4 linked regions of the Elephas maximus indicus genome follow. The protein of the gene in region 4 interacts with the protein of the main gene of each other region in a pairwise test. Links are inferred from orthologs where the notes say so. Each region holds a gene or a part of one and is shown on either strand. Other genes may lie near its edges.

Region 1 (7,185 bases), on a different chromosome or scaffold from region 4:
TAAGGTGCTCCTGACCGAAGCCACGGTATATCCAATCGCATCATATGCATGTGAAAGCTGGACAATGAAAAAAGAAGATGGAAGAAGAATTGACGCCTTTGAATTGTGGTGTTGGTGAAGAATATTGAATATACCATGGACTGCCAAAAGAATGAACAAATCTGTCTTAGAAGAAGTACAGCCAGAATGCTCCTTAGAGGCAAGGATGGTGAGACTGCGTCTTACATATTTTGGAGATGTTGTAAGGAGGGATCAGTCCCTGGAGGACATCATGCTTGGCAGAGTACAGGGTCAGCAGAAAAGAGGAAGACCCTCAACGAGGTGGATTGACACAGTGGCTGCAACAATGAGCTCAAGCACAACAATAATTGTAGGGATGGCTCAGGACCAGGCAGTGTTTCGTTCTGTTGTGCATAGGGTCGCTATGAGTTGTAACCGACTCAACGGCACGTAACAACAACAACAACAATTCAATCCATGGCACCTGGCTACCAACTTCCAAAAAATTCAGCCATTGAAAACTCTGTGGAGCACAGTTCTACTTTGACACACACAGGGTCACCATGAGTCACAGTCAGCTTGACAGCAATTGGTGCTGGCATTGATGATGTGGGTAAAGAGAAGGGAGAGGGTTCAAGAGGCACCTCACAGATGGGATAGATGGGGATATACAAGATGATTGGGAGAGAGGGGACGGGGTGACTGAGCTGGGGTAACTGGTTAAAAATGATTAGTGTAACCCAACTGGGAGAAGAGGAGGAGCAGAGCTCTTTTGGCCATGCCCGCACCCATCCCTGATCTGCCCTCACCCCTGCTCTGCTGCCTTCCCCATCCCAGTAAATGGCAACTCTTCTTTTCAGCTGCTCAGGCCTCAAGCCTGAGTCAACTTTGACTTTTCTTTTCCTCTCTCACATCCCACATCCAAGCCATCATCAAACCCTGTTGGCTCAAACAGAATCTGGCCGTTTCTTACCACCCCTGTTGCTACCACTCTGGTCCCTGGTCCAAACCATCATCATATCTCACCTAGATTTTTGCAGTAACTTCCTTCTGCCCTTGCCTATCTACAGTCTACCCTCGACAAAGCAGCCTGAGAGACAGAGAGAGATCTTTTCAACAAAGCGGTCCTCGACCTTTGCTGCATATTAATATCTGCTGGGAAGTTCTCAAAAAATGCCTACATCTGCCCCTCACCCCTAGATATTCTAATTTAACTGTTAAGGAGTGGTGTTTTGAGTTTGAGAGAGTTCAGCGTGGATCAGAGAAAAACATATGACCACCAGATAGCAGTGTTGCACAACAAGCTATTTATTGGAGCCCAAAGTATTGGACAGCTCAAATGTGTTGGGGAGGGGGTGGGGGGGGCAGTCCCCTGCAGCAGGAGGCACTCCAGAGGCAAGCAGTGCAAGGAGCCACCAGAAGGGGAAGAGGACAGGGAAACTCCCCAGGGGAGGGGGGGATTGAACGGGGGTGTCTATATGTTTAGGTTAAGTTCCTGTGCACTAAGGTGGGGAGTCTCTAAGTCAAAGAGCTCCAAAAGGCAGCAGCAGCTTGGGGTCCTTATAACTACAGGGTTTTATCTTATCTGGAGCCCTGGTGGCACAGTGGTTAAGAGCTCGGCTGCTAACCAAGAGGCTGGCAGTTTGAATCCACCAACTGCTCACTGGAAACCTAATGAGGCTGTTGTACTCTGTCCTGTAGGGTCACCATGAGTCAGGAGTCAACTTGATGGCAATGGGTTTGTTTTGGTTGGTTATCTTATCTATGGCTAGCAGATGGTGGGTGCCATTTTGGGGGATATGTAAAGCAGTCAGGGTCTCAGTGGCTAAAAATCTGCTTATTTTAAAAACAACAGATATGTAAAAATATGAGTTTGATGCCCTCAGGCTTTTTGGGTTAACAGGCCTGAGTTTGCTATGAAGAAATAAACAGCCTAGGGCCAATACATAGGGGCCTCCTTTGGCTCATTTATATAACAAGTAGGGCCCAGGGAGAGGTATTTTTTTAAAGCACTCCAGATAACATAGAATGTGGTCAGGGTGGAGAACCACTATTCACATCACTTCTCTGCCCAAGTCCTCCAACAGTCCCAATCCAACTCAGAGTATAAACCACTGGTCAACAAAGCCATATGTGATCTACCCTCCCGTGACCTCTCTGACCTCACCTTCTACCACTCTCCCCCTCTGTCTTAGTCATCTAGTGCTGCTGTAACAGAAATACCACAAGTGGATGGCTTTAACAAAGAGAAATTTATTCTCTCTCAGTCTAGTAGGTTACAAGTCCAGATTCAGGGTGTCGGCTCCAGGGGACGGCTTTCTCTCACTGTCAGCAGATTCCTTGTCATCAATCTTCCCCTAGTTGAGGAGCTTCTCAGGCACAGGGCCCCAGGTCCAAAGGACGCACTCTGCTCCTGGTGCTGCTTTCTTGGTGGTATGAGGTCCCCCAACTTTCTGGTTGCTTCCCTTTCCTTTTGATCTCTTGAGAGATAAAAGGAGGTACAGGCCACACCCCAGGGAAACTTCCTTTACTTTGGATCAGGAATGTGACCTGGGTAAGGGTGTTACAATCCCACCCTAATCCTCTTTAAAGTAAAATTACAATCACAAAATGGAGGACAACCACCCAATACTGAAAATCATGGCCCAGCCAAATTGATACACCTATTTTTGGGGGGACATAAGTCAACCCATGTTGCCCACCTTCACTCCATTCCAGCCACACTGGCCTCTATTTTTTTCCTTGAACAATTTAAGGCACATTTTTGCCTTCAGGTCTTTGTCCTCGCTGTTCCCTCTGCTTGAAGCTCTCTTTACCCAGAAGTCTGCGTGGCTTAACCCCTCACCTCCTTTAGGTCTTTGCTCAACTACTGTCTTTTGTGATGCCTGCCTGGTCCACTCTATTTAAAATCAAAACTCCTGCCCACCGCTCCTGACCCTCCTTATCCTGGTCTAGTTTTCTTCATAGCACTTGTCACCATCTGACTTAAAATGCATTTATTATCTGTCTCTTCTCCACTAGACTGTGAGCTCCAGGAAGGCAGAAATTTTGGTCCGTTTTGTTTACTGCTATATATTCCTATCACCTCAAACGCTGTCTGGCACATAAAACCATTGCTGTCTAGTCGATTCCAACTCATAGGCATATAGTAGGTGCTCAATAAATCTTTGTTGACTCTCTGAATTTCTGAATGTTTATGTGATTTGGTAGAGTCTGAAGTATTAAGGGATACCAGTAGAGAGGTCAGGCATTCGGGTGAGGGGCTGACACAGGGCAGGAGTTCCCCAAACTGACTTCTCCCCTTGCTCACCTTGTTGAGTGGTATCTCCGTCTGCCTGGTTATCAGGTAGGCACCTGGAGTCATCCGGGACTCCTCACCTCCACATCTCACTCACCAACCATTCCTACATTATCATCTAAATATCTCTTAAGCGTCTGTGTCTACTACCTTTGCCCAATACACCATCGTTTCTCCCTCAGACTACAGCCAACAGTCCAGCCTGAGTGCCTCCTGTTCTCCATTGTTTGAACGGTCTTTCTAAAACACAAATTTGACATTCTCCCTCTGTCTTACGAGCCCTGGGGCCAGTGGTGAAGCGCTCAGCTGCTAACCGAAAGGTCAGCGTTTAAACCCACTAGTAGCTCCATGGGAAAAGACGTGGCTGTCGGCTTAAAGATTTACAGCTTTGGAAACCCTGCGGGGCAGTTCTGCTCTGACCCATAGGGGCCCTCGGTCTTAAGATCTTTTCAAGGGGCTCTCTGATGTCCTTGGGGCCAAGCCCCAGCTCCCACGAGGCCCTCTGCACGCGTGCTGGCCTTCTTCTCTAAACTCGTCTCTTGCCATTCAGCCCGTGGCCCCAAAGGCGCAGGACTTCTTCACACATGTGGGCCTGGGTTCCGAAGCCCGACGACTGACTCCTCCCGGAGGACGCCTCCTCTGACCGCATTTCCTCTTCTGGGCCTCTGAGCCTCACCTCAGGCACACTCATTAATGACACTCTTTGGCAGCCTGTCACCCACTCGGCTGGGAGCGCCTGAGGGAAGTAATTGCGAGGGGTGTATGTGGGTCACCGCGGCGCTCCGGCCTCGCTCTGACCAGGAGAGGTGGCGAGGCAGCCCCGGGGAAGCAGAAAGGGAGCAGGAGCCGGCCGCAGAGCTAAAGAAGGAGTGCGAAGCGTGTTGCGCTGCGTCAGCGAGCCCCGGAGCGCCCGGAGTCTAGCACGGCCAGGCCGGGAGCGCAGTGCAGGTGGCCCGCGTCCCCACCAGAGGGCGCCGAGCGCTCTGCGCCCGCGGGCCTGGCAGGGTCGCGCGGCTGAGGTCTCAGCCGGCTTCCCTCTCCAGCCGCTTTTCCTCCCCACATCTGCAGTCGGAGCGGAAGAGGCGGGGACGCCGGCGACGCCAGGAGCGCGCGGTCCGGACTCTGCTGCAGGGTAGGAGAGCCGGCGTGCGTCTTCTCTGCGCAGGCGCGCCGCCAAGGCCGGCAGGGGCGGGGCCTGGGCTGGTCGAGGGGCGGGGTCAGATCCAGGGCCCGCCTCCACTAGCTCTTCAGAGCGGCCGAGCCTGGCACCCAGGCAATTCTGGGGGTTTCAGGTGAGCATGGGGCACAGAGGGATCTGGGAGGCTTCTCTCGAGGCCGGGTCGTCGGTCTGACCGTGCGCGGGCCCATCTGTCCTGCTGCCCGTATCCGGCCACCTCCACGGAGAATGGGAGAACAAAGGGAGGGGGCGGTTCTGGGGCCCCGGAGGGAATCCAGGGTCCCAGGTACCCCGCCCCGCCTGCTGACACTTTCGGTTTCTCCTCAAGTCAGAGGTGCCGCCCGGAGACCCTGGTCCAGCGCCGGGCACAGCTGCTTCTGCGCGTTTGCCTGTCCGTCTTTGTGTCTGTCTCTGTGTCTATCTGGCTGTCTCCGAGCCTGCCTCCACTTCTAAAACTAAGCCGCGCGGACACCGACATCCCCTGGGTCCCCGCCCCTGTCCCATGGCAGGTAAGTGGGCGCAGGGCTGGGGGGTCTCCGTTATCCCCCCCAGCCCGCGGACTTGGGAGCCGGGTGTCGAACACATCCTCCGGGAATGTGCTCGGACTGGCTACGTGGGCCCCTCCCTTCCTCCGGGGAGCCGCCGCCCGGCTCCCCCGCCCCATCTTTCCCAGTCTTCCCCACCACTTTAACCCCGCAGCCTCGTGGCCCACGGGCTGAAGACGAGGGGATGAGGCTCCTGGGCCCTTTCTAATCTCGACCCCTGTTTCCACAGGCTACTTGCCCCCCAAAGGCTACGCCCCTTCGGCTCCACCGCCCTACCCTGTGACCACCGGATACCCGGAGCCGGCGCTGCATCCTGGGGCCGGGCAGGCGCCGGTGCCCGCCCAGGTGCCCAGCCCCGCGCCAGGCTTCGCTCTCTTCCCCTCACCTGGCCCCTTGGCCTCGGGGTCTCCTGCCCCCTTCTTACCACTGCCCGGGGTGCCTCCTGGCCTCGAATTCCTGGCGCAGGTAAGTGGGAGAGAGGGAGGGGTGACCGGGGCCCGGCGTCCAGGCGAGCCAGCTGACGTCGTCGGCGGTGCCCTTACTCTTTCTAGATTGACCAGATCTTGATTCACCAAAAGGTTGAGCGAGTGCAAGGTGAGTGGGGCAGCGGCAGAGGAGGTTGGGCCTAGTGATGCAGGCAGGGATGGCGGGCTCTGGGGCCAGCATCGGAGCCTGAGCCTCAACAAGACTCTTGTAACTCCCTGGCAGGGCTCCTAGGCTGGGAAACCTGTAACCGGTATGAACTGCGCTCGGGGGCAGGGCAACCCTTGGGCCAGGCGGCCGAGGAGAGCAACTGCTGCGCTCGCCTGTGCTGTGGTGCCCGCCGGCCGCTGCGTGTCCGCCTGGTGGACCCCGGGGACCGCGAAGTGCTGCGCCTGCTACGTCCGCTCCACTGTGGCTGCGGCTGCTGCCCCTGCGGCCTCCAGGAGGTGGGTGAGGAGGGGTGGGGTAGAGGACAGGCTGGGGTAGGGGAACAGGCCATGGTGGGGTGGGGTCAGGGATGGGGTGTGGTTCGGGTGGGCATGGGCTTGTGGGGATGGGAGAGTCTAGTGAGAGGGCTAGGTGGGAGCTTGGACCAGGCAACCCTGGCTTGGCAGTGACCCTGTCTGCCTTGTATCCCAGATGGAAATACAGGCTCCACCGGGCACCACCATTGGCCACGTACTACAGACCTGGCATCCGTTTCTCCCCAAGTTCTCCATCCAGGATGCTGATCGCCAGACTGTCCTTCGGGTGGTGGGGCCCTGCTGGACCTGTGGCTGTGGCACAGACACCAACTTTGAGGTATCAGGAAGGGGAGCTCCCTGAGACTTTCATAAACAAAGATGGCAACTTCCATGATCCAAGATGGCAGCCTCTGTGAGGCAGGATGGCCAATGCTAAGGTCAAGACTCTGAGCTCATCAATCCAAATCCACTGTGATTCCTACTACTTTTCAGTTTTCTTCCATTCTGAAATAGGATGGCTCAGTGGTCTTATAAAAGGCATGTCAAAGAGGGTTTCATCTTAAGAACCAATGTTGATTGTTATCTACAGCTCTGTGTTGAGGAAAATCTGATGCCAGCCTGGATTTAGGGGGAAAGATGATTATTGAGTGTATAGCTGCTGTGTGTCAGTTTGTGAGCCTATGCCCAGGGACGAGCACTGATTTGACTTATTAGCATCCTTTGGCTTGCCCACCAACCTAGAAAGCCAAATGGCCTCTCTAACCTGGAATCCAGGTGACACCCTTCCCACCGTGGGTTCCTATCACCAGCCTGGAACCTGGAGACCCCAAGTGGTGACAGTTTCAGGGTGAGGCCTGAGAAACACCTTGGTTTCTAGAAGGGAAGGTCACCCCACAGACCCTTGAGTTCCTTAAGGGATAATTATCTCTGCAGATATGGGAGAGGCAATAGGTATAATCTAACAGACTTTCCAAAGCTTCTGATGAGGTACCCTACCTACCTAAAGTTATTTTTAAAAACTGAGTCACCTTGGTAGCCAGGGGAGGTTCTGTGATGGGAGCCAGGTGATCTCTGGGTGGGAATGTGTTAATTGTCAGTTCTCATTAGACCAGTCTCCCTTTTACGTAATTATAAATGGTCCATATTTGAGGTTACAGTCTTGGGACTATAGGACTGGTTGGGATAGGCCCTGCCTACCCTGGGACTGCGCTGCATGAA
Region 2 (7,988 bases), on a different chromosome or scaffold from region 4:
CTACTTTAGAGACTTTCCAGAGACTTAATACAGCCTCCTTATCTACCATGAATACTTGTAGCACCAGCTTACATCCCAGCCTGGCTTTCTATAGAGCCCTTGCTTGCTCTGGGCTCCATTCAAAACTAGCAGCTTTCCAAGTTACCCAAAATAGGATTGTGAGAGTATTCCAAGGGTAACATATATTACCTTCAGAACCAAAGAGACCCTCCAAGCATTGTTCCTTTTTCTTAGTAGGTGGAGAGGGGAGGTGCCATAATCTGTCTTTCACCTTAGAGGGATGTTCCAGTATGCTCGAGACACTGGGCTAAAAATGGTGGGATTTATTTACTGCCATCTGACACATGTGGCTTCCTAGGAGCATCTAGGGTGCTAGTCACATTCTACTCACTAAGTCCAAGTAGCTTGATGCCATAGATTTAGTAGGGACATCAGTATTTATGCATAATATCAAAGTCCCTATGGACTGACTATACTGTATTATGAAAGAGAGTATACATAGTTCTGGGGCAGGACAGAATGTCTACTGCTGTCCCCACTGTGTGAATGGAAACTGCTTTTGTTCCTCCCTACCGATGGCAATTGAAAAGAGCATATTACACAGAGTAATAATAACTGCACACCAAGTACCAGAGGCTATGTGGTTCTGCTCCAGTAAAGATTCCACATCTGGCATGGCCTTCCCTTCAATCAGTGAGCTCAGAATCTGAGAAATGACTTGAACATATATGGGAAGGAGATGAGGGACCATCATTTTCCACTGCTGCAGCAGAAGTCAACTTTTGGCTAGCCAGTTCTCAATTTTTTAATTATTCAAGTTGAGGAACATCTTAGTTGACTGTTCATCTATGTGACTCCTAGGAACATCATGATTTAATGGCCATTGTCACAGATCCCATGGGTCTAGGGACTCTTTCTGCTGCTCCACCCCTGCTGTCTATTATGATCTGTCTTGCCTCTGACAGTTATGCCTCTGCCATACCAGAATCCTATCATCCCCACTGATCTGAGGGAGCCCAGTTCCATGACAGCATCTCTCCTCATCAGTGAACAGAGCAGCCACCACTGAACTTCTCAAAGATGCCAGTCCACCTCCCCTTGATGATACATTTCTTATTGCCTTAGTGAAGAGAATGTCCTTTGGGTGAAGGAAAACATGGTAAACTATTCATATATTCCTACTGTGGGACAAAGAACATGATTTGGCCTTTTGTATTTGGTAGAACTTGGTATGCCTATTCCCAAGAAAGGTGATCCAACCAAATGTGGAAATTATAGAACAATATCGTTAATATCACACGCAAGCAAAATTTTGCTGAAGATCATTCAGAAATGGCTGCAGCAGTATATCGACAGAAATTCAGGCCGGTTTCAGAAGAGGACGTGGAACCAGGGATATCATTGCTGATGTCAGATGGATCCTGGCTGAAAGCAGAGAATACCAGAAGGATGTTTACCTGTGTTTTACTGACTATGCAAAGGCATTAGACTGTGTGGATCATAATAAACTATGGATAACACTGAGAAGAATGGAAATTCTAGAGCACTTAATTCTACTTATGAGGAACCTTTACATAGATCAAGAGGCAGTCGTTCGGACAGAACAAGGGGATACTGATTGGTTTAAAGTCAGGAAAGGTGTGCATCAGGGTTGTATTGTTTCACCATACCTATTCAGTCTGTATGCTGAACAAATAATATGAGAAGCTGGACTATATGAAGAAGAACGGGGCATCAGGATTGGAGGAAGACTCATTAACAACCTACGTTATGCAGATGACACAACCTTGCTTGCTGAAAGTGAAGAGGACTTGAAGCAGTTACTAATGAAGATCAAAGACCACAGCCTTCAGTATGGATTGCACCTCAACATAAGGAAAACAAAAATCCTCACAACTGGACCAATGAGCAACGTCATGATAAACGGAGAAAAGATTGAAGTTGTCAAGGATTTCATTTTACTTGGATCCACAGTCAACAGCCATGGAAGCAGCAGTCAAGAAATCAAAAGACGCATTGCACTGGGTAAATCTGCTGCAAAGGACCTCTTTAAAGTGTTGAAGAGCAAAGACTTGAAGACTAAGGTGCGCCTGACCCAAGCCATGGTATTTTCAATTGCATCATATGCATGTGAAAGCTGGACAATGAATAAGGAAGACTGAAGAAGAATTGACGCCTTTGAATTGTGGTGTCGGCGAAGAATATTGAATACACCAAGGACTGCCAAAAGAACCAACAAATCTGTCTTAGAAGAAGTACAGCCAGAATGCTCCTTAGAGGCAAGGATGGCGAGACTGCATCTTACATACTTTGGACATGTTGTCAGGAGGGATCAGTCCCTGGAGAAGGACATCATGCTTGACAGAGTACAGGGTCAGTGGAAAAGAGGAAGACCCTCAATGAGGTGGATTGACACAGTGGCTGCAACAATGAGCTCAAGCATAACAAGGATTGTAAGGATGGCTCAGGACCCGGCAGTGTTTCCTTCTGTTGTGCATAGGGTCGCTATGAGTTGGAACCAACTTGATGGCACCTAACAACAACAATGATTCGGTATGTATTTGGCTTTTTGTATATGATTTGGTTTTTGAAAATACCCTGAGCAATTAAGGTGCTCTTTCTTTCTTTCTAACATAGCCAGGCTATTCTTAAATATAAGAAGCTGTGGTGACTCAGTGGTTAAGCACTCGGCTGCTAACCAAAAGGTTGGTGGTTTGAACCCACCAGCTGCTCTGCAGAAGAAAGATGTGGCAGTTTGCGTCCATAAAGATTTACAGCCTTGGAAACCCTATGGGACAGTTCTACTCTATCCTATAGGATCACTGAGTCTTAAACAACTCGACGGCAATGAGTTTTTTGGTTTGGTATACTTAAATATGTATAAATAAGTAGGGGCTACACAGGCCCCATACCTGGCAAACCAACTTCAGGAAGGGCGGGAGCATGATGCAGTCATGTGTATTAATTGCTTGGATTGATCATAACTGCATTCAGGCCCCAGTTATGCATATTCATTGAGATCCTAATGATTAGGGGGGACCCTGGACCTTGGAGCTTCTCTCCTTGGGGCTTCCTGGCTTGGTGGAAACATCTGTGCATGGGAGAGGGTACAGCACGTCCCTGAGGACAATGGAAGCCTCCTGGTGCCAGGACTTCTCCAGACCTAGCCTTGTCAGATGCATTGCTTCGCTTCTATCCTTTCTGACTGTAATAAATGGTGAAACGTAAATAATAGTCTCTGAATTTGGTGAGCCATTACAGAGAATTAATGAACCCACAGGGATAATGAGTCAGTAGGGGTTAGCCGTACAGAGTTGATTTGTGTAGACCAAGCTCCAGGTGGCTGGGTGACAGAGAAAGGCTGCAAGGACAGTCAGTGAAGGACAGACTCTTTCTAGCTTGTGACTTAGTCCCAGGGGATGAGAGAGAGAAAGACAGGCAGGTCTGACATGCAGGGAGTTGGGCAGACTCCTGAGTCTACTCTGATTACCTAGCCTCAGGGTGCCTGGGGATGAGGTCTGATCTAACTCTGGGTGGTTAGGGTCAGAGAGAGTTGCCACAGAAGTGGCTGGCGACTAGGTATGGAGATGTGGGAAGGTGAGGCCACGATCTATTCCCAGCTGAGCACTGGATTCATGCTGATCCTTCTCATGCAGTTAGTCATAAAAGTAGGGTTAGCCTGCCTCATGCCTTTTTTAGTGCACTCGCTGCACCTACCACCTTGAGACTTCCGACCTCTTCCTTCAATACTATGCTAGGGAAATTCTGGTATCTTTACTTCATTTGCTGTAAACCACCACCATGTCCAGATTGCAGGGGGCCATCTCAACAGACTGTCACAGCCAGCTCCAGGCGCCCTTATCAGAAGATTGGATCCCAAATCACGGGTGAAGGCCCATGGCAATAATTCTCCCCCATTCAGATTTAGGTTTGCCACCCCCAAACCCAATACTTTCAAGATGTATTCCCACACATATCTCTCTGTTTTTTATTGACATATTAGCCAGGTCTTGCAATTTCTTTGATGTGTAAGCAAGGCTTTACTTCTGTGCTTGGACAGGGCAGGGAGACCTGACCCTGTTTATTGGCCTAGGGGCAGAGAGTGATGATAGGAGCAGATCTTAAAGACTGCATGTACCATTATTTTTAATTAAAAAAATTTTTTTTAAATTGAGGTGTAATTAGTTCTCTCTGGCATTTATTGGCTGTGGGTTTCTGGGCAACTAACTTCATCTCTAGTAGCCTTGGTTTTGTTTTCCTTTATAAAATGGGGACAATAATACCCATCTTGGAGCTTATTTGAGGCTAGAATGCATTGGCATTCGAAAAGCATCTAGCACAAATACCTGGGACATAGTAGCACTCAGTATATGTCTGCTCATATTTTACAGTCTGGATTATAGGTATTTGTGTTCATATTTTCCACTGCCTTTCCCCATCCCCCAGGCAGGGACTCTTCTTGTTTTTTTTCTGCTTCCCAGTGCCTAGTACAGTGCCTCCTGACACAAAGCAGGCGCCCGATATATATGTTTAAAGAATGAATGCATTGGGGGCACAGAGTACACACTCGATAAATACGAATGGATGAGTGTACTATGTATGAAAGAACGGGTTGCCAACTGCCACCTACGACTCTGCCCCGGCGAATGACACAGCTTGCGACCCAAGACCGGTACCAAGCCCAGGCCTGGCCTCCTACGCCGCTAGACTGAAACTACAGCTGCAGAACGCGAAGTAGCTCGCGGCCTCGCGCCTGACCAATCGGAGTGCCCCCTCCGGGACCCGCCCCATTTCGAAAATCTGCCGCCAGTACCGGCCTTGGAAGTTGACCAATCGGCTCTTGGCCGTGGCTCTTGGCCTCGCCCGAAGATTGAAACTGCCTCTTCAGAACGCCGAGTAACGCTTGGCGGAGAGACTCGCATTTGTCCAATCAGGACTGCCGGCGCGGGCCCCGCCCCCGGCTGGGGACGGGCGGGGCGGGGAGAACGCATTGCAGCAGGGGCTGCCACGGCTGCGCAGTTTGGTGTTTCCGGGCGGTGAGTGAGGGAGCGGGCCTCGGCTGTGAGTCCCACGTGAGTACCGGGAGGTTCGGGGGACCGCCCCCTTACCTGGGGTCGTGCCTCTGCGTCCGCGAGCGCTTTCTCTTTGACTTTTCTTCCCCCAGTTTCTCTTTTGAACATCATTTTCTGTTGAATTGGCGCTGCTTGTAACTTTCCTGACGCGGCCGAACCGGGAGGAGGGCTGCGCAGGCGACTCTCTTTAACATCCTGCGAAAACGAAGGCCCTCGGACCATAGGGGTACGGCCCAGCGTAGCTCCATCGTTTTAAACGTGGGGGCAGGGACTCCCAGCCCTGAGGACCAGGCGGCTTGCCCCGGTGTCTGCCCCTCCACTGACTCCCTTCCCTGCGGGGCCTGTGTACGTTAGAGGGGCGTTTCCGTGCACATCTGACTTCTCTGCCCCAGCCCTTGCAGTGCGCCCGGGGGTGGGGGGGGGAGTGTAGGTGGGAGTGTTCGGGGGCAGGGTCCCTGAGAGCAGGATGCCTGACCCGGCGCAGTATTAAAATGGCATGGTGCGCACTGGGGGAGACATTTTCTGGTTGGAAGAGTCTGAGTCTGGAGCTGTGAGAGGGAGAAGTGGGAAGCCCCTTCCCCAGTCTGCAGAAATCCTTTCCAGAGCATTCCCTTCTTGATCTTGCATCCTTGGGTGGCCAAAGGCTGGGAGTAGAAGGCTTCCCAAGTACCTCCCTACACTGCCACCTGGCAGACCGTGGACCTGGAGCCAGATTTGGGTTTGAATTCTGACTTTGCTGCTCACTGTGTGACTTGGGGCTGATAGATTAACTTCTCTGAACCTTGGTCACTTCATCTGTTAAAAAAAAAAAAGGTTAAGAAGGAGGGAAGAGTCCCCAGGAGCCTGATTTCTGTTGGATTCAGGAATTATAATGCTTTACATGTGCATTTGTTTCCTACAGTTAGATAGCTGCCGTAAATTGACTCTGACTCATGGTGACCTTATGGAAGCAGAACAAAACATTGCGTGGTCCTGCATCATCCTCCCAATTGCTGGCATGTTTGAGTCTGTCACTGAGCTGTTGTGTCAGTCCATCTCACCAAGGGTCTTCTCCCTGGCTGTCTCTCTACTTTACTAAACATGATGTACACCTCCAGCAGTTCATCCCACCTGATGATGTATCCAAAGGAAGCAAGTTGGGCAGTGTTCTGTTGTGATCCATAAGATTTTCACGAGCTAATTTTTAGAAATAGAGCCTAGGCTGTCTTAGTCTGGAAGGTCCTCTGAAACCTGTCTGTTACGGGTGATCCTGCTGGTATTTGAAATACCGGTGGCACAGTTCCCAGCATCATAGCAACATGTAAGCCACCACAGTGTGACAAACTGACAGGCGGTGGTTTCTACAAATTAAGCTAGTCTGATTTCGTAGTTAAGGCTGTCAGGGGAGGATTATTCTCTGTTGGTGGGTAAGGAAACACACCCTGAACAGTTTTCTCTAATAATAATAGATGTTTATTGAATATGTGGTCCCTGGGTGGTACAAATGGCTAAGCACTCGAGTACTTGCCTAGTTAAGAGCTACAGTTGCTAACCAAAAGGTCAGCAGTTCGAATCCACCAGCCACTCCTTGGAAACCCTATGGTGCAGTTCTACTCTGTCCTATAGGTTTGCTATGAGTCAGAATCGACTTGACAGCAACGGATTTGGTTTTTGATTTTTTTTACTTGCCAGAAGGTTGGTGGTTTGAACCCACCCAGAGGCGCCTCGGAAGACAGGCCTGGCGGTCTGCTTCTGAAAAGTCACAGCCTTGAAAACCCTATGGAGCAGGTCCACTCTGCACACGTGAGGTCTCCATGAGTTGGAGATGACTTGAAAACAACTAAAAACGACAACAATTCAATGCTTACTGTGTGCCAGGCACTGTACTTGGGAGTTTAATCCTTAGAACAACCTTATGAGATAGATACTATTATCATCTCTGTTTGGCAGATGTGTAAACCTCTCTGAGGCATAGAGAGGCTAAATAACTTGCCTGAAGCCACACAGCGAGTATCAGAGCAGGGATTTGAACCCAGGCCTCTGGCTGAAAGACACCCTACTCACCCCATATCGTGCTGTCTTGACTTCAGGTGGAAGAACTGGGCTTGGAACCCAGGCCTGAGGGCATCTCTCAGCCCAGGAGCCAGTAATACCTCTGTGAGAAGCTCGATGAAACACCCAAGATGATGGAGACTGAGGACCTGGTGCAGCTGCGAAAGCTCAACTTGGAGCTGCTGAGGCAGCTGTGGGCCGGACAGGATGCTGTGCGGCGGTCTGTGGCTGAGGCAGCCTCCAAGGTGGGTATAGGCAGGGTCTGCCTAACCTCAGGCCAGAATGCAGGTGCCCAGGGTCTTCTGGTACAATGTGTCCATTTTACTGTTGGGAAAACTGAGGCCCAGCAAGAGAAGAGACTGACATAGGACACTGCTGAGGCCAGATCAGTGATGAGGACCAAGGCCTTCATGCCTAATTCAGGCCAGCTCTGGATGGCCTGGGGCCAGACCACTCCCTGGGTGACCTGGCCCCTCTTCTCCAGTCAAGCCGGGACTCCAGCAGCAGCCACGATGCAGAGACACCATCGTTACGGGAGATGACCTCAATGGCCTCGAGGGCCTCCTCCCCACCGAGCGCCCACCAAGATGGCACCTGTGATCTGGCTTGGCCTGGCAGGACAAGCTCCCTGGCAGTCTCTCTCCCACCCCACAAGTGCCAACGCCAGGAGTCCTTGGGCCCTCCAAGGCCCCGCTCAGCACCTTTGTTGGTCACCTTGGACTTGAATGATTCAGAGCTTTCAGCAGAGCTGGGCAGTCCAGGGCCTCGGGAGGCCCTAAGATCCATCCTGACTCCTCGACAAAGCAAGCCATCCAAGGTAACTGGGGTGGCATGTCATCCATTGTTGGGATCTTCTTCTAGCCTCAGTTTCCCCATCTGACAGAC
Region 3 (7,641 bases), on a different chromosome or scaffold from region 4:
TTCTACTCTGACACACACGGGGTTACCATGAGTTGGAATCAACCTGATAGTAACTGGTTTTAAAGACCACAAGAGGTGTGGACGTTCCTGAGCATTTGCTTTTCCTTTTAAGAAACCATGGCCAACGCAAATGAAGAGCCCCAGGCACGTGTATGGTAGGCATGTGATTGGTAGAAAAGGTCAGGTGTAATGGTGAGGAGTGACTTTTGTCCTTCAGGTTCAGCCTCTAGGAGCTGGTCTTCTCAACTCTTTATACCCAATTCACAGGAAATCAAGAGGTCTTTGTGGAATATAAAGCACAGTACAGCTTCAGACGTTGCTATATTAGGGACAGATTTTCTGTCTTGGAAATACAGAAAAAGGATGCTTTGAGGGTTGGATGTTGGGCAATTCTATTTGTTGCCCACAAGCTTAGAAGAGTGAGCACAAACACTGTCTCTGGCAGGAGCCCTGCCCATCACCCAGCTCTGAGGCCTCCCAGATGGAGCTCCACACCCCCTCCCCGCCCCCCCCCCCCGCTGGTTCTTTGCAAAATAAAAACTTACCCTCTGACCTGTCCTAAATTATCCTTGCCCTGTGTCACTTACAACAATAAACATATCACCCAGAAGGCCCCTCTGCCCCGCCAGAGCCAGCGTAACAATAAATATCATTCACATCAAGATGTGGTCAAAGTGGAGGAATGCAGATGTTGAAGGAATTTCCAAAACAAGCTGTTAATGATCATACTCACTGCTGTTGAGTCGATTCTGACTCAGTGACCCGGTAGGACAGAGAAGAGCTGCTCCCTAGGGTTTCTAAGGCTATAAATCTTTAAGGAAGCAGACTGCCCCGTCTTTCTCCTGAGGAGTAGCTGGTGGGTTCGAACTACCAACCTTTTGGTTGGAGCTGAGGGCTTAACCACTGAGGCACCAGGGCTCCTCTGTTAATAATCATCAGGACTTTTAAAAGAAAAAGTGGCAGAACCAGGTTACTGGTGGTGAGGAAAAAGAGCGGAAATTGTTCTCTCTTAACTCCTTTATTTCCTACTCCAGAAAAAGAACCAAGGGGCAGAGGGCATCTCCTCTCCCCTGTAACTTACTGTCACTGTTTCTCAACTCTGTGCCTGCCATGCTGGGCACTAACTTTTCAAAGATTGAGAACAAAAGTTATGCCCCAGCTGTCAGATGCCCCACTAAGGATGGCTGGGGAAAAGGATAGGTTAGCCCTGTGTCTACACAGAGTCACCCCTCTGGCCCTCAGAACCTTTTACCAGAACGCTGTACCCACTTCCCTATCCAACGGCTGTCGCTTGCTTATTTTCTGAGGTTGAATTTGGGGCTTCCACCTGCGGAATGAAAAAGTCATGTGGCTCAGGGCTTTGGCTGGGTTTGATGATTAAGCCCAGACACAAAAAACACCTGGTTTCTGGAAAGGTTATCATCCCAGCATGAGGCATGGTTACAGCTGCATGCAACTCTTACCATAAATCTTGGGGATTTACAGCAGGTGCCATGAAGGGAATGCTCATCGTTTCCAGCCCTTCTTAGTGTGAAGTTGTTTCTTGCAGCCCTTGGTAGTTCTCTCAGATAGGATCTGCCTTGAGTTCAGATAGGCCTGAGTTTAATTTATGAATAAGAAGTTTGTACTTCAGGCCTCATTTCCTTTTAGGCATGTCACCATGTAAAACACTTGGGCTTCATTTTGGGACATTATTTCTGTTAGCTAAGCCAGCTCCCTAAAGATGGGCAAAATGAATCACCTCAGAAGAAAGAGGTGAGTCTTACAAGATGGTGTTAGATTTTTATCCTAAAGGGAGTGGGACTGTGGGTATGGTGGGATGGAGGTGCAGGGAGGATGGTGGAATCAGGTTCAGACTTAATGGATTTGGCTGGAGGCAGAGGGCAGGGAGTTGGTAGAACAGTCTTCTTCACTGAATGACATGGCTCTTCGGTAAACTGAGCAAAATGAGTATATTAGTTATCTAGCACTGCTACAACAGAAATACCACAAGTGGATGGGTTTAACAAACAGAAATTTATTTTCTCACAGTTTAGGAGGCTGGAGGTAAAAATGGCATGGGGCAGAGTCTGGCCTCCTCCCTCTTCACAAGGGGGAAGGAGAATCAAGATCAACAGCCCAAAGGTGATTCCCATGAGGCAGAGGTCAGACATGCCTTCTCTCTCCACCATCTTTACTGATTCTGACACCAACAGTCCCTCCTATGGCACTCTCTACTTCTCTACTGGGTTCAGTAATTCCTTGCAATGGCCACAGTTATGGGGTTGATTAGGGAAGTAACATGTTAAAATTCAGGTTCAGGAATGCCCAGGATACAGTTCTTCTACCAGGACAGGCACATCCCAGTCAGGCTCCCAGGCACACCTCTCCCTGGCCCTTGGCCTCTCTCCAAAGACAGTTTCCTCGCTCCATGGGTTGGGAAACCCACGATTTTATCAGCCTCTACTGCCAGTCCCTCCTGTCACTGTTTCTCTGCTACCACTTCTCAGTGTCTTTAGTGTTACAGCTGTCTGTCTCCTGGGTCCAGGAGCTTCTCAGTGCAGGGATCCCTGGTACAAAGAACATGCTCTCTGCTCCTGGTTGTTCTTCTTGGTGATGGTAGGATCCTCTCTCTCCTGCCTCTGGGGTGGCTCATTTCAAGCCCTGCAGGATGGTAAAACTGACCAATCCCTTTGGTGGGCCACAATTACCCTATCACACAGTCTCGCCTAATCACTTGGGTGGGAGTTAAAAGACCATGGCTGGAAAGCCCATACAAAAGTGATCCATCATACTGGACTGGAAGTCCAAATTCAGGGTGCCGGCCCTAGGGGAAGGCTTCTCTGTGGACTCTGGGGAAGGTTCTTGTTCCTGGTGTCTTCACATAGTGTGGCATCTATCTTCCCCGTCTCTGCATGCTTCTCTCTGCCTAAGCCACTTGGTTTATATCTCAAAGGTGATTGGCTTAAAACACACCCTATATTGTTATGGCCTTATTACATAATAAAGAAAACCCTATTCCCAAATGGGGTTACATCTACAACTATGTTGTTGTTGTTAGGTGCCATTGAGTCAGTTCTGACTTATAGCGACCACTATGTACAATAGAATGAAACACTGCCCGGTCCTGTGCCATCCTCACAATCATTTTTATGCATGAGTGCATTGTTACAGCCACTGTGTCAAGGCGGTTAGAATTACCACATATGTTTTCGGGGAGAGATGATTCAACCCATAACAGCGAGAAATGAAATAGCTAAAAGAGAATGGGCATTTGGTGTCTCTTTTAGTTAACCTAGTGCTGCTGTAACAGATAACACAAGTGGGCAGCTTTAAAGAACAGAAATTATTTTCTCATAGTTTTGGAGGCTAAAAGTCCAAATCAGCGTCTCAGCTGTGTGGATTCCTTTTTTGTCGGTAGTCTGGATGTTCCTTGGTCCCTTGGCAATCCTCACATGGCATCTGTCTTCCCCTGTGTGTGCTGGTCTCTGTGTCTCATCTGCTTCTTTTGTAACTCTGAAGTGAATAGGTTCAGGACACATCCTACACTGCTATGGCCTCATTAACATAACAAAGAAACCCTATTTCTAAACAGGATTACATTGCAGGTATAGGAGCTAGGATCCCAAAACACATTTTAGGGGCACACGATTCAATCCATAACAGTATCCTCTCCAAAAGCCATAAAAGAAGCAAGAAAATTGGTAGCAGGCCTGAGTCTGCCAATCGAATTTTATATATTTTCTGTGGAAATACGTACTTGACTCCCTACTCAGAACTATGCTGCTGGGGGTAGACTTATTCTCCCCTCCATATACTGGACCTGAGAATTTATGGAGATATGAAGAAGAAGGTCTCAGCACCAGACTTGCCTGGAAAATTTCCGAGGAAGTTAGGTGTGGATTTAGATGGCTAAGTATGTTGTTGTTAGGTGCCATTGAGTCGGCTCTGACTCATGCCAAACCCACTGCCATCGAGTTGATTCCTACTCATAGTGACCCTATAGGACAGAGTAGAAGTGCCCCTTAGGGTTTCCAAGGCTGTAAATCTTTACAGAAGCTGATTGCTATATGTGTCTCCCGAGGAGAAGCTCGTGGATTCAAACTGCTGACCTTTTGTGAGCAGCCAAGTGTTTTAACCACTGCGACCTTATATGTGACAGAACAAAACACTGCCTGATACTGTGCCATCCTTGCAATTGTTTCTATGTTTGAGGCAATTGTTGCAGGCACTGTCAGTCTGTCTCCTTGAGGGTCTTCCTCTTTTTTGCTGATTCAAGTTTTATGTCCTTCCCTAGCTATTGGTCTCTCCTGATGACATGTCCAAAGTAAGCAAGATGAAGTCTCACCATCTTCACTTCTACAGAGCATCCTGGCTATAGTTCCTCCAGGGCAGATTTGTTCTTTCTTCTGGCAGTCAAACACATAAATTCTTCTTTGGTCTTCCTTACTCATTGTCCAGCTTTCACTCACATGTGAGGTAATTGAAAATACCATGGCTTGGGTCAGGCGAACCTTAGTCATCAAAGTGACATCTTTGCTTTTTATCACTTTAAAGAGGTCTTTTGCAGCATATTTTCCCATTGCAATCTGTTGTTTGATTTCTTGGCTGCTACTTCCGTGGGCGTTAATTATTGATCTAAGAAGAATGAAATCCATGACAACTTCAATTTCTTCACCATTTATCGTGTTGTTTATTGGTCCAGGAAACCTTGGTGGCATAGTGGTTAAGTGCTATGGCTGCTAACCAAGAGTTCAGCAGTTCAAATCTGCCAGGCATTCCTTAGAAATTCTATGGGGCAGTTCAACTCTGTTCTCATAGGATCACTATGAGTCGAAATCGACTCGACGGCAGTGGGTTTGGTTTTTGATGGGTTTTATTGGTCCAGTTGTAAGGATTTTAGTTTTCTTTATGTTCAGGTGTGATCCATGCTGAAGGCTGTAGTCTCTGTCTTCTGGAATTCCTTTCTCACTTTCTAGCACCTGTGGTTGCCTTAAGCATGGTCCTCTGGTTCTTAAGAAAGGTGGGAGGTTTTCTATTTGTGTATTAGCTGTCCTGCATCGCACAGACTGGGGCCTGCCTTCAAGCTAGAAATTGTGAAAAAAAGGACACCGACACAGACACACTCTCTCAGTGCCATTCCTTTCCTCTACTATTGGCTTTCCTCCAGAATCTGCCTATTTGAATTGCTCTTTAGTGCTTTCGTGTAGTGGTTTTTATATTTTGTCCAGAGTTTATGTGAAGCAAATGTCAGCCTCAGCCTTAGTGGGGCTGAGGAGTTGAGAGACTAGAAGGAGGAGACAGGCTCTGTGAAACTTGAATCCTGGAGGGCATGTACTTGAAATCCCATCTGTTGTAGTGAGGATAAGGAAGTCTCGATGTGTCCTATCAAGATCACGGCCAAACCCTGTGATTCAAATCTGGGGATCTTTTTCAGTGTGCTGAGATAGGCCTCTCAACTTGCTGGGGATGACAAAATGGTTTTCTATGGTTTCCTTAGAAGGGTGCCTTTTAACCCTGGGAAGCGTTAGAATTATATATGGAAATGATGTAAATCAAATCCATTGACAGACAAAGGGAAAACCCTATAGAGGAGATTGAGAAGGAAGACAAATCATGAGGAGCAGTATCGCAGAGGTCCAGGGAGAGAATATTAAAAAAAGATTGAGAAGATGGATTCTACTCAGAGGGTGCAGTAAGATAAGGATGGGGAAACTGTGATTGGATTTGGAAATAGGGTGGTACTTGGTGGCCTTGCTGAGAGCAAGGAGTAAATAGAATCAGATTATGGCAGGTGGATCATGAGTGGGAGGTGAGAAAGTAGAGTCCACACCTGTAGACAGCCCTTTTTAGAAGAGAGAAGGGGAGGGAGAGAAATGGCAGGGGAGTCCAGTGAGGGTTGTGTCTTACTTCGTTTTTTTTCCTTTAAAGATGGGAGAGACTGCAGCATGTTTACCTACTGAGAGAAAGGAGCTAGGAAGGAAGAAGTGAAAACACAGATAGGAGATGGTTGCTAGATGAGGCTTTCAATAAAAAGGGAAGGGATGAGACTCTGAGCAGGCGTGAAGAGATTTGCTTTGGACAAGAGGAGGAAGGACTCTTTAAAATTGATTCCATCTTACTGATTAATTAGTAGATAAGAACTGCTTTAGGTGAAGGGAAGGACAATACTCAGTACATGGAAGGTCAGCTCAACTGGACTGGACCAAAAGCAAAGAAGTTTCTGGGATAAACTGAATGCTTCAAAGGTCAGCGGAGCAATGGCGAGGGTTTGGGGACCAGGGTTTAAGGGGACTTATAAGTCAATTGGCAAAATAATTCTATTATGAAAATATTCTGTATCCCACTTTGAAATGTGGCGTCTGGGGTCTTAAATGCTAACAAGCGGCCAACTAAGATGCATCAATTGGTCTCAACCCACCTGGAGCAAAGGAGAATGAAGAACACCAAGGTCACACGACAACTAAGAGCCCAAGAGACAGAAAGGGCCACATGAACCAGAGACCTACATCATCCTGAGACCAGAAGAACTAGTTGGTGACCGGCCACAATCGATGACTGCCCTGACAGGGAGCACAACAGAGAACCCCTGAGATGCAGACCCCAAATTCTCATAAAAATACCATACTTAATGGTCTGACTGAGACTAGAGGAATCCCGGCGGTCATGGTCCCCAAACCTTCTGTTGGCACAGGACAGGAACCATTCCTGAAGACAACTCATCAGACATGAAAGGGACTGGACAGTGCGTAGGAGAGAGATGCTGATGAAGAGTGAGCTAATTATATCAGGTGGACACTTGAGACTGTGTTTGTATCTCCTGTCTGGAGGGGGGAGGGGAGGATAGAGAGAGTTGGAAGCTGGCAAAATTGTCACAAAAGGAGAGACTGGAAGGGCTGACTCATTAGGGAGAGAGCAAGTGGGAGTATGGAGTAAGGTGTATATAAACTTATATGTGACAGTCTGACTTGATTTGTAAACGTTCACTTGAAGCTCAATAAAAGTTAAAAAAAAATTGATCCCATCTTAATATGATTGATTATTTGAATATACTAGCAAATTCTTAAATTTGTACAGATAAACATTAAAAATAGGTTACAAAAGTATTGCTTGGTCCTGTTATCTTATCCGTGTGAAAATTCTCCATTTCTGGCTCCCAGGGTCATGACTCTGGTTTAGTTGTCCTTATTTCCTTCTTCCTTTTGTCAGACGACTCTTGTCTAGCACCTTTCTTTAGCTTTGCCAAATGAGTCGATGTCCAGTTGTTATGACTTCCCCAGTGGGGCCACTTCAGCCTTTACTTAACTCTGAGTTTAACTCTTGGCCTTCCATACTGTATAACCTTTATAGCTACCTACTCTGAAAGGAAACTCACGTCTTTGACCAATGTTTGTTTTTGTTTTGGTTCATAGTCACAATGGGCACAGGGACTGGGAAATGTATCCCAGGAAGAGAGGGGAGATCCAGTGTTCTTAAAAAAAAAAAAAAAAAAAAAAAGCTACTAAATTCGAGCCTTTTTTGGGAAGAATAAAATAGACTTTTCTTTCACACAGAGTCAATGGCTGTAAGATTATGTGAGATTGGGGACGTGCAGTTATGCCGTGGTTAATGATAGTTTACAGTCAATGTTCTCAACATAAAAACATAATGAGGAAGCGTAAG
Region 4 (7,680 bases):
ATACTTCCGAAGCTGGTTAAAGATTTTGGTCATGTTGTCGGCTGCAGAAAGGAGGCAGAGGTGAAAGATAAACATTATAGAAGAGGTGCCCCTTCCCCTGACCATATTCCTACCCCTTGCTTAGGAGACCTGGGCCAAAATCTACAGTGGTATAGAGTCCCTGGAGGGTGCCACATTTGAGTCCTTCAGGCCCATCAGTGGTAAAGAGCAAGATCTTGTCTCCCAGTATTGTACGGAAGAGCCCAGCCAGGTGCCTCATGTAGCTGAAATCACAGGCCTTATAACTACCATATTCATTCTCCACCTGCCAGGAAGAAGGGAAAAAGGAGTTCAGTGAGGAGGTTAAGGACCTCCTACACCCCCTTTTCCTTGCCCAGTCAACTTTTCACTTGTACCTGAATGCTAATGATGTTGCCCCCATTGTGGTACAGCCATGGATATATCTTGGGCAGCAAGACATGAAACCAGGAGTCCACTGCAGCAAGGAAGTCTAAAGGAAGAAGCCGCGCTCTCTGAGCCCACAGTGCTCTGCTCATTAGGGGCTACCACAACCTCTGCACACACATACACAAACACACCAACCAGCGTCAATACTAGCAACTTCCATGCTGACTATACTTGGGGCTGCAGTCTCCATCTGACTTATCTGAACCAAATCCATTGCCGCTGAGTCGATTCCGACTCACAGTGACCCTACAAGACAGAGTAGAACTGCCCTATATGGTTTCCGAGGAGCAGCCGGTGGATTTGAACTGCTGACCTTTTGATTAGCAGCCGAGCTCTTAACCACTGTGCCACCAGGGCTCCTCCATCCCACTTGCTGTTGTTAGGTGCCGTCAAGTCATTCCTGACTCATAGCAACCCTATGTACAACAGAACGAAGCACTGTCTAGAACTGCGCCATCCTCACAATCGTTGTTATGCTTGAGCCCATTGTTGCAGCCACTATATCAATCCATCTAGTTGAGGGTCTTTTTCTTTTTTCTTGACCCTCTACTTTACCAAGCATGATGTCCTTCTCCAGGGACTTGTCCCTCCTGATAACATGCCCAAAGTATGTGAGATGAAGTCTTGCCACCCTTGCTTCTAAGGAGCATTTTGGCTGTACTTCTTCTAAGACAGATGTGTTTGTTCTTCTGGCAGTCCATGGTACACTCAATATTCTTTGCCAACACCATAATTCAAAGGCATCAATTCTTCTTTGGTCTTCGTTTTTCACTGTCCAGCTTTCACACGCAATATGAGGTGACTGAAAAGGCCATGGCTTGGGTTAGGTGCACCTTAGTCCTTAAAGTGACATCTTTGCTTTTTAACACTTTAAAGAGGTCTTTTGCAGCAGGTTTGCCAAATGCAATGCGTCGTTTGATTTCTTGACTGCTGGCTTCCATGGGTGTTGATTGTGGGTCCAAGTAAAATGAAATCCTTGACAACTTCATTCTTCTCTCCGTTTATCCCACTTATACATAACTAAATCTGGGAAGCACTGACTGACTCTTGTCAGAAGAAACTCAACCCTAAGCACTCATATATTTGCATATCAATGGAATTTCAACATAGGAGACCTTAAAGCAGTGTTTCTTACACATTTGTTTTTTTCCTGTAATAAAAATGTTAAATACATCTTAAACCTTATAGAGCTATTATTATGTAATCAGCTTATGCCTCAAATTGCTATAAAGTGGCCTGTGAATTCACAGAAATGTGTAATGTGTAACCTGTACCCTAATGCACTGTCCGGTCGATTTTAGCCATCAATTGAAAGATCCCTGGTTTACATTAGGTAAAAAAGGTAGCATGCCTTAAATTCTCAACTCCTACTTGTGATTTCTGTGATTCACTCTCAGGTCTTCATGCATGTTATTACTTCTGCCTGACATTTTTTTTGTCCCCACTTCCTTCATTTGGCCAATTGCAACTCATGCTTAAATTATAGCTCGCTTCCTCAAGAAAACCTTCTCTGATACCTGAGCCAATTGTTGTTTGCCTTCTTCTATTGAATCTTCTGTCTCAACTCACCTGGATCTGAGGTTCTCAGATGAATTTTAGGTTTTCGAAGCAACCAGGATGGGAGACCCCCCTGAGAGAAACATAAACACAAGGAAGAGTGTAGGTTTTGTTGTTTTGGGGTGGAGTGGGGGAGGTAGGAAGGGAGGAAGTTCAGTGCAGTGTTGGAAGTGGCCCTACAGTATGGGCAGAAGGGAGTTGTCTAGGAATCATACAAGGGTGGCTTTGGTTCTTCTATCCCTTCTCCAACTAACTCACCATCTCCCACTCTGCACAAATATAAGGTCCTGGTCTCAGTATGACCAACAAGTTCGCCTTATTTGCCTCATTCAGAAACGCAGTGAGGTCCCGGCTGCCATTAAAGTTATAGACCCCAGGCTCTGGCTCATGGTAGTTCCAAGGCACGTAACTGGAGGAAAGAAGAGGTTAACAGGGCCCAAAGTGGAGAGATACCAGTGAGGCCTAAGGGCTCAGGCTCTGCAGGAAATCTCCAGGAAGCAGTTGGAAAAATGTCCTGGCCCACCCTTTCCCACCCTTGGCCTGGGAGCCCTGGTGCTCCAACCCCTCTCCATCCTGTGCCAGTCTTTCTGCCCCAAGCTTCCTCCTAAGGGGGTGGTACGAAGGGTAAGCCCCGCCTCTCCACGGCTCTCTGAGCACTTCTTACAACTGTATGGCGTTAAGGCCGCTCATTCGCATTTTGAAAAGCCGGTCTGCCCAAAGCACCCGCGGTACCCGGAAGTAGTGCAGGCTGCCAGATACATAGCGGAACGGAACCCCGTCCAGGAGGAACCGGTTATGATCCCGATCCACTACGAAAGACCGAGTGTCTGCCTGCAAATTAAAGTAGAGACGCTGCTCAGCAGAGGTCTGCAGTGGGGATCAGCGTCTGCCGAGAGCGGAGAATATGTAAATAGCCCCGCCAGTTATTATTTTTACTTTCCCTACATCCGCCGAATCTGATCCGGCCTCATCGAACCCGGCAGGCCGGCTCAACCCTCTTATCTTACCTGGGGCAGCAGCAGCGTCAGGAACGGCAGCAGCAGAGAGAGAAGGCAGGGCGGCATCTTGGGAGCCACGGCGCTTGCAGGGCTCCTAGTTTTGAGACTGAGGTCCAACCGTCACGTGGGATTCCTGGGAGGGAACCTCAGTGAGCAAGGGGGCGGAGACCACCCCAAGTTGCCAGAAGATTACCCTGGACTTTTGTCTCCAGCCTGCAGCCACCTGCCACTCTACTAGATTGTAAAATCCTCTATATCTTGCTACTCAAAGTGCAATCCATCGGACCAGCTTCGTCAGCATAACCTGGGAGCTAGTTAGAAATACAGAATCTCAGGTCCTTTCTCAGACCTATGGAACCAGAATTTGTATTTTAACAACATCCTCAGGAGACCCTAAACACATTCAAGACTGAGAATCACAGCTCTACTAGAATAACTCCCTAAAGGCAAGCAGTGCCTGGTCCATCTTAAATCCTCCAGAGTGGACACACAGCAGGTTAAATATAGACGAATGAATGTCAGAACCAGGGGCTAACGCCTGTTCAGAACTAAGGGAAACCTCAGACAATCTTCCCCATGATCGGGGTATGAAAACGGAGAACCAGGTTACAAAAGGGATGTTTCTCCTGGAAAGCCCTGTTTGAGAAAAAGGGTCCGTCCTGGCCATTCATTCCATCTTATCCCCATCCCACTCTCCCAGTTCATCCCTGCCTGCCTGAGCAAGAGATTTTAAGAATAACTGCTTGGTGCCAAGATTTGGGAATTTGTCAGTCTCCATTCCTCCTGCCCTCACAGTCCCAAGCCTGGGATGTGAGGACCAGGGTAATTAGTAATAATTACCGTTATTGTTTTTTTTAACACTTACTGAAGGCTATGTGTTAGATATTATGCTAAGCACTTCATATCTCATTTAATCCTCAAAGAACTCTGAGGTAGATAATTATCATCCCCATTTTACAGATGAGGAAATTGAGGGACAGAAATATTAAGTAACCTGTTCATAGTTACACACTAGTTCAGTAGCACTGGGATTTGAACTCAGCAGTCTGGCTTCATGGTTCAGGCAGGTAACCATAGGCACCATACAACCTTTGGGACTACGGCCTGTATCCCAGATGTTCGCTGTGCAATGAGATAGAAAGGCTGAAGGATAAAGACTAGGGAAAGTGAGGCTCAGAGACGTTAAGTAACTTGCCCGAGGTCACACAGCTAGTAGGCTGTTCAGTTCGGATTTAGACCCTGGCAGTCTGGTTCACGAGTCTGATCTTAACCACTAAGCCTAGAGTGGTGGGATCCGGGCCAGAGCCCTGGAGGTTGTGTGGCTTCAGAGCTCACAGCTCCAGCAGTCCAGACCTCGAGCACCTGCTTCTCCCTGTGTCCCCGGGTTGTACAGTAGACGGCCGCTTTCTGGCCCCAGAGCGCGGGAGGTATGAGACCCCCTACCTCGGGCATTGGGAGATGGAGGTCCTGGGGGCCTAGGGCCGGGCCCGGTTTTGCTCCCCTTTGGCTCAAGTGCCTGCGTCTTGAAGGCCAGGTGGGACCCCTCGCCTGGGACCCGTCCTCCCCAGGCCTAGCCTGCCCCGGGCTTCGCAGCGCGGCGCCCCCACATCGTCCGGGTGCCCAGCGGTTGCTATGATACCGCGGGCCGTTATGCCGGCGCGGACTGATGATGTAACCACTGTTTCCGGCCGCTAGCGCGTCCCTGTCGCCCGAGCCAGGTCAGTGGGGGGCCGGGGCTGGGGGACCCTGGGCTCTGCGCGCGGTTGCCGAGGGTGGGTCCTAGAAGGGATGGGTCCTGGAAGGGGTGGGCCCCAGCCTCGCACCTCCCGCGAACTGCCCTGCCTTGCCTTTACGGCCCGACGGGCGTGGGAGCGGGGGCCGCCCAAAGGTGGCCTGAGGTTGGCGGAAGCGGCGTGGTAGTTGTTACGTGGCCTGAGGCTTTAAGGCACCTGACCCCAGCCTTGTTGGAGCTGGTGTCGCCAGGTCCTCAGATCCAGGCCTCTGCTTTCCGCATTGGTACCTCAGGGGTCGTCGCGACTGTTCCTTTCTGTTCTTTACAGCATGCTCTGCTGGGCCCTCAGTGCATGGCCTGGAAGAGCCCACTCATCCTGAACGAATTCTTCTGCAGCCTCAGACCGTCTTTGAGGAGGATGACTGAGACACTATGGGCCATGCGCTGTGTGTCTGCTCTCGGGGAACTGTCGTCATTGACAATAAGCGCTACCTCTTCATACAGAAACTGGGGGAGGGGTGAGTGTTTGGAAATCACTGAGCGAGTTCCCAGATTATGGTGATTGAAGGACACCAATCCATACATGACAGGGGTATAAGGGTTTTAACTCTGTCCTCTAAGTCACCTAACGGGGCCTAGCTGCATGGTAGTCAAAAAGGTGAATTCTGCAGCCAGGCCTCCTAGATCTACCTTGTGTGACCTTGGTAAGCCATGGTTTTGTCATATGCTTGATGGAGATAATCATGTTTCGCTGATGGAGTTGTGAGGATTGAGATGATGTGTATAAGAGGGCAAGCCCAGTGCCTGGTCCATAAACACTTGGTAAATGTTGGCTGTTATTCATTTAACATTTATTGAGCATCTGCCAAGTACAGAACTCTGTGTTACGATCGTAGTACCTCAGAAATGACTATGTCGCTGTTCTCGAGGAGCTCAAAGTATGATAGTCTTCAGATGGGTTTCTACTAGTTGGGAAATACAGCCTTCTTCCCCCAGGGAATTCTTCTGGGTGCAGGCATTGCGGGAGATGACCGTGGTCCTTCACTGACCCCTTTGGCCCACAGTGGGTTCAGCTATGTGGACCTAGTGGAGGGGTTACATGATGGACACTTCTACGCCCTGAAGCGAATTCTGTGTCACGAGCAGCAGGACCGGGAGGAGGCCCAGCGAGAAGCAGACATGCATCGGCTCTTCCATCACCCCAATATCCTCCACCTCGTGGCTTACTGTATGAGGGAGCGGGGCTCGAAACATGAGGCCTGGCTGCTGCTACCCTTCTTCAAGGTCAGAAGGACTCTTGGATGTGGAGGGGGTTGCAATAGAGCCACTTACTAAGGGCTGTGTGGGCAGTCAAATGTGTAGGAAGCAGGGACCATGTCCTGGGTTTGGCCACTCAGATTTGGGGTTTAGAGGAACCCCAGTGGGACACATGGAGCTGCCATGAGTCAGAATCGACTCAACGACACTTGGTTTGGTTTTTTGATTTTAAGTGGGACTGTGGGATCTGAGGTGTGTGTGGTGAACAGGTTGATAGGCTTTGACAGAGCGAACAGAAGGCTCAGGAAAACTGGGGAAATTGTGTTGCAGAGAGGTACGCTGTGGAATGAGATAGAGAGACTGAAGGACAGAGGCAGCTTCTTGACTGAGGACCAAATCCTGCTGCTGCTGCTGGGTATCTGCAGAGGCCTTGAGGCCATTCATGCCAAGGGTTATGCCCACAGGTCAGTGGGAGGATCCCCTACTTACTGGGCAAAGAGGAAGAGCCTCACCAAAAGAAATGGGAAGTCTTTGCTCTCCTTTCAAGCAACAGCCCCCATGATTCTTTTGTTCCTTGGGATTTTGGCCTTACTGTCCAGGGATGCTCATGATTCACTCCCACTTCACTATAGAGACCTAAAGCCCACCAATATCTTGCTTGGAGATGAGGGGCAGCCTGTTTTAATGGACTTGGGTTCCATGAATCAAGCACGTATCCACGTGGAGGGTTCCCGCCAGGCCCTGGCCCTGCAGGTGAGTCTCCAGGTTTGTTTGTCCACCTGTTCCCCATCCTCAGTCCCTTCTGGGGCATGCCCCAATTTGGTCACATGACTGTGGCCTGTGACCCACTTTTGAGCTCTGGGGCCACTGTTCCAGGACTGGGCGGCCCAGCGATGCACCATCTCCTACCGGGCCCCGGAGCTCTTCTCCGTGCAGAGCCACTGTGTCATTGATGAGCAGACTGACGTCTGGGTGAGGAGCATATGGCTGGGAACCTGGGCAGGGGAGGATTGCTGCTCTGTACTCACTGTGCAGTAGAGGGTAGATCTGTGGTTTCTACTGCATGAGGCCCCAGGAACCATGGTATGTCCCCATCCTCCTTGGCTTCCTTCCTGGGACTGTCACAGATACTGTAGTCAACTGCTCAGGAAGTGGTATAATTCCTGCCCTTGAGCAGGGTGGGTACAGCTACATGTCAGGGCTAAAGACAGTGGCTAAGCAAGAGATACAGAGGCCTCCAGATAAGTGGCAGTTTCTGTGGGCCCTGATAGTGCCCTTTGACTGAGCAGCAAGGGATGGGTCTTACCTCCATCAGTTCCCTTCCAGAGAGTAACCCAGGTATGCTCAGTCCCTAGGCTGTGTGCTGTATGCCATGATGTTTGGGGAAGGCCCTTATGACATGGTGTTCCAGAAGGGTGACAGTGTGGCCCTTGCTGTGCAGAACCAGCTCAGCATTCCACAAAGCTCCAGGTAAGCAATAAAAGGGACACCAAGTGTTTCAGACACCTCCCTCTGGTGTTAGCTGCGCTGGGGCCTTAGCAAGCGGGGAATGGGTTGCCCTCCAGTCCTCCAGTCAGCCTGCCTTCCTCCCTCTACAGGCATTCTTCAGCATTGCGGCAGTTGGTGGCTTCCATGATGACTGTGGACCCCCAGCAGCGCCCTCTCATTCCTGTCCTTCTCAGTCAGGTG

Evidence for each region.
Region 1: the proteins of STK16 (region 4) and PLSCR3 interact in binary tests that used the Homo sapiens proteins (3 or more experiments, as listed by UniProt). The two-hybrid records come from large-scale screens. The link is inferred for Elephas maximus indicus from reciprocal best matches to the Homo sapiens genes STK16 and PLSCR3.
Region 2: the proteins of STK16 (region 4) and MIIP interact in binary tests that used the Homo sapiens proteins (3 or more experiments, as listed by UniProt). The two-hybrid records come from large-scale screens. The link is inferred for Elephas maximus indicus from reciprocal best matches to the Homo sapiens genes STK16 and MIIP.
Region 3: the proteins of STK16 (region 4) and SAXO1 interact in binary tests that used the Homo sapiens proteins (3 or more experiments, as listed by UniProt). The two-hybrid records come from large-scale screens. The link is inferred for Elephas maximus indicus from reciprocal best matches to the Homo sapiens genes STK16 and SAXO1.

The regions. Positions count from the first base shown.
Region 1 is NC_064837.1:13,418,208-13,425,392, forward strand, and holds the start of PLSCR3 (phospholipid scramblase 3), read left to right. Parts: upstream 1-4,171; 5' UTR 4,172-4,246; intron 4,247-4,366; 5' UTR 4,367-4,430; intron 4,431-4,440; exon of another isoform or gene 4,441-4,590; intron 4,591-4,803; 5' UTR 4,804-4,977; coding exon 4,978-4,984; intron 4,985-5,249; coding exon 5,250-5,485; intron 5,486-5,571; coding exon 5,572-5,614; intron 5,615-5,728; coding exon 5,729-5,949; intron 5,950-6,142; coding exon 6,143-6,304; intron 6,305-7,185. UniProt on the Homo sapiens protein: Catalyzes calcium-induced ATP-independent rapid bidirectional and non-specific movement of the phospholipids (lipid scrambling or lipid flip-flop) between the inner and outer membrane of the mitochondria.
Region 2 is NC_064821.1:51,870,231-51,878,218, forward strand, and holds the start of MIIP (migration and invasion-inhibitory protein), read left to right. Parts: upstream 1-4,985; 5' UTR 4,986-5,072; intron 5,073-5,164; 5' UTR 5,165-5,298; intron 5,299-7,141; 5' UTR 7,142-7,234; coding exon 7,235-7,348; intron 7,349-7,587; coding exon 7,588-7,920; intron 7,921-7,988.
Region 3 is NC_064827.1:28,838,650-28,846,290, reverse strand, and holds the start of SAXO1 (stabilizer of axonemal microtubules 1), read left to right. Parts: upstream 1-4,626; coding exon 4,627-4,647; intron 4,648-7,641. UniProt on the Homo sapiens protein: May play a role in the regulation of cilium length. Stabilizes microtubules at low temperature.
Region 4 is NC_064824.1:117,833,322-117,841,001, forward strand, and holds the start of STK16 (serine/threonine-protein kinase 16), read left to right. Parts: upstream 1-4,670; 5' UTR 4,671-4,720; intron 4,721-4,724; exon of another isoform or gene 4,725-4,774; intron 4,775-5,062; 5' UTR 5,063-5,166; coding exon 5,167-5,252; intron 5,253-5,798; coding exon 5,799-6,018; intron 6,019-6,321; coding exon 6,322-6,455; intron 6,456-6,623; coding exon 6,624-6,744; intron 6,745-6,867; coding exon 6,868-6,963; intron 6,964-7,339; coding exon 7,340-7,461; intron 7,462-7,589; coding exon 7,590-7,680. Other genes in the region: GLB1L (beta-galactosidase-1-like protein), read right to left, coding at 1-41, 130-304, 396-490, 2,017-2,077, 2,263-2,413, 2,669-2,835, 3,012-3,068. UniProt on the Homo sapiens protein: Membrane-associated protein kinase that phosphorylates on serine and threonine residues. In vitro substrates include DRG1, ENO1 and EIF4EBP1. Also autophosphorylates. May be involved in secretory vesicle trafficking or intracellular signaling.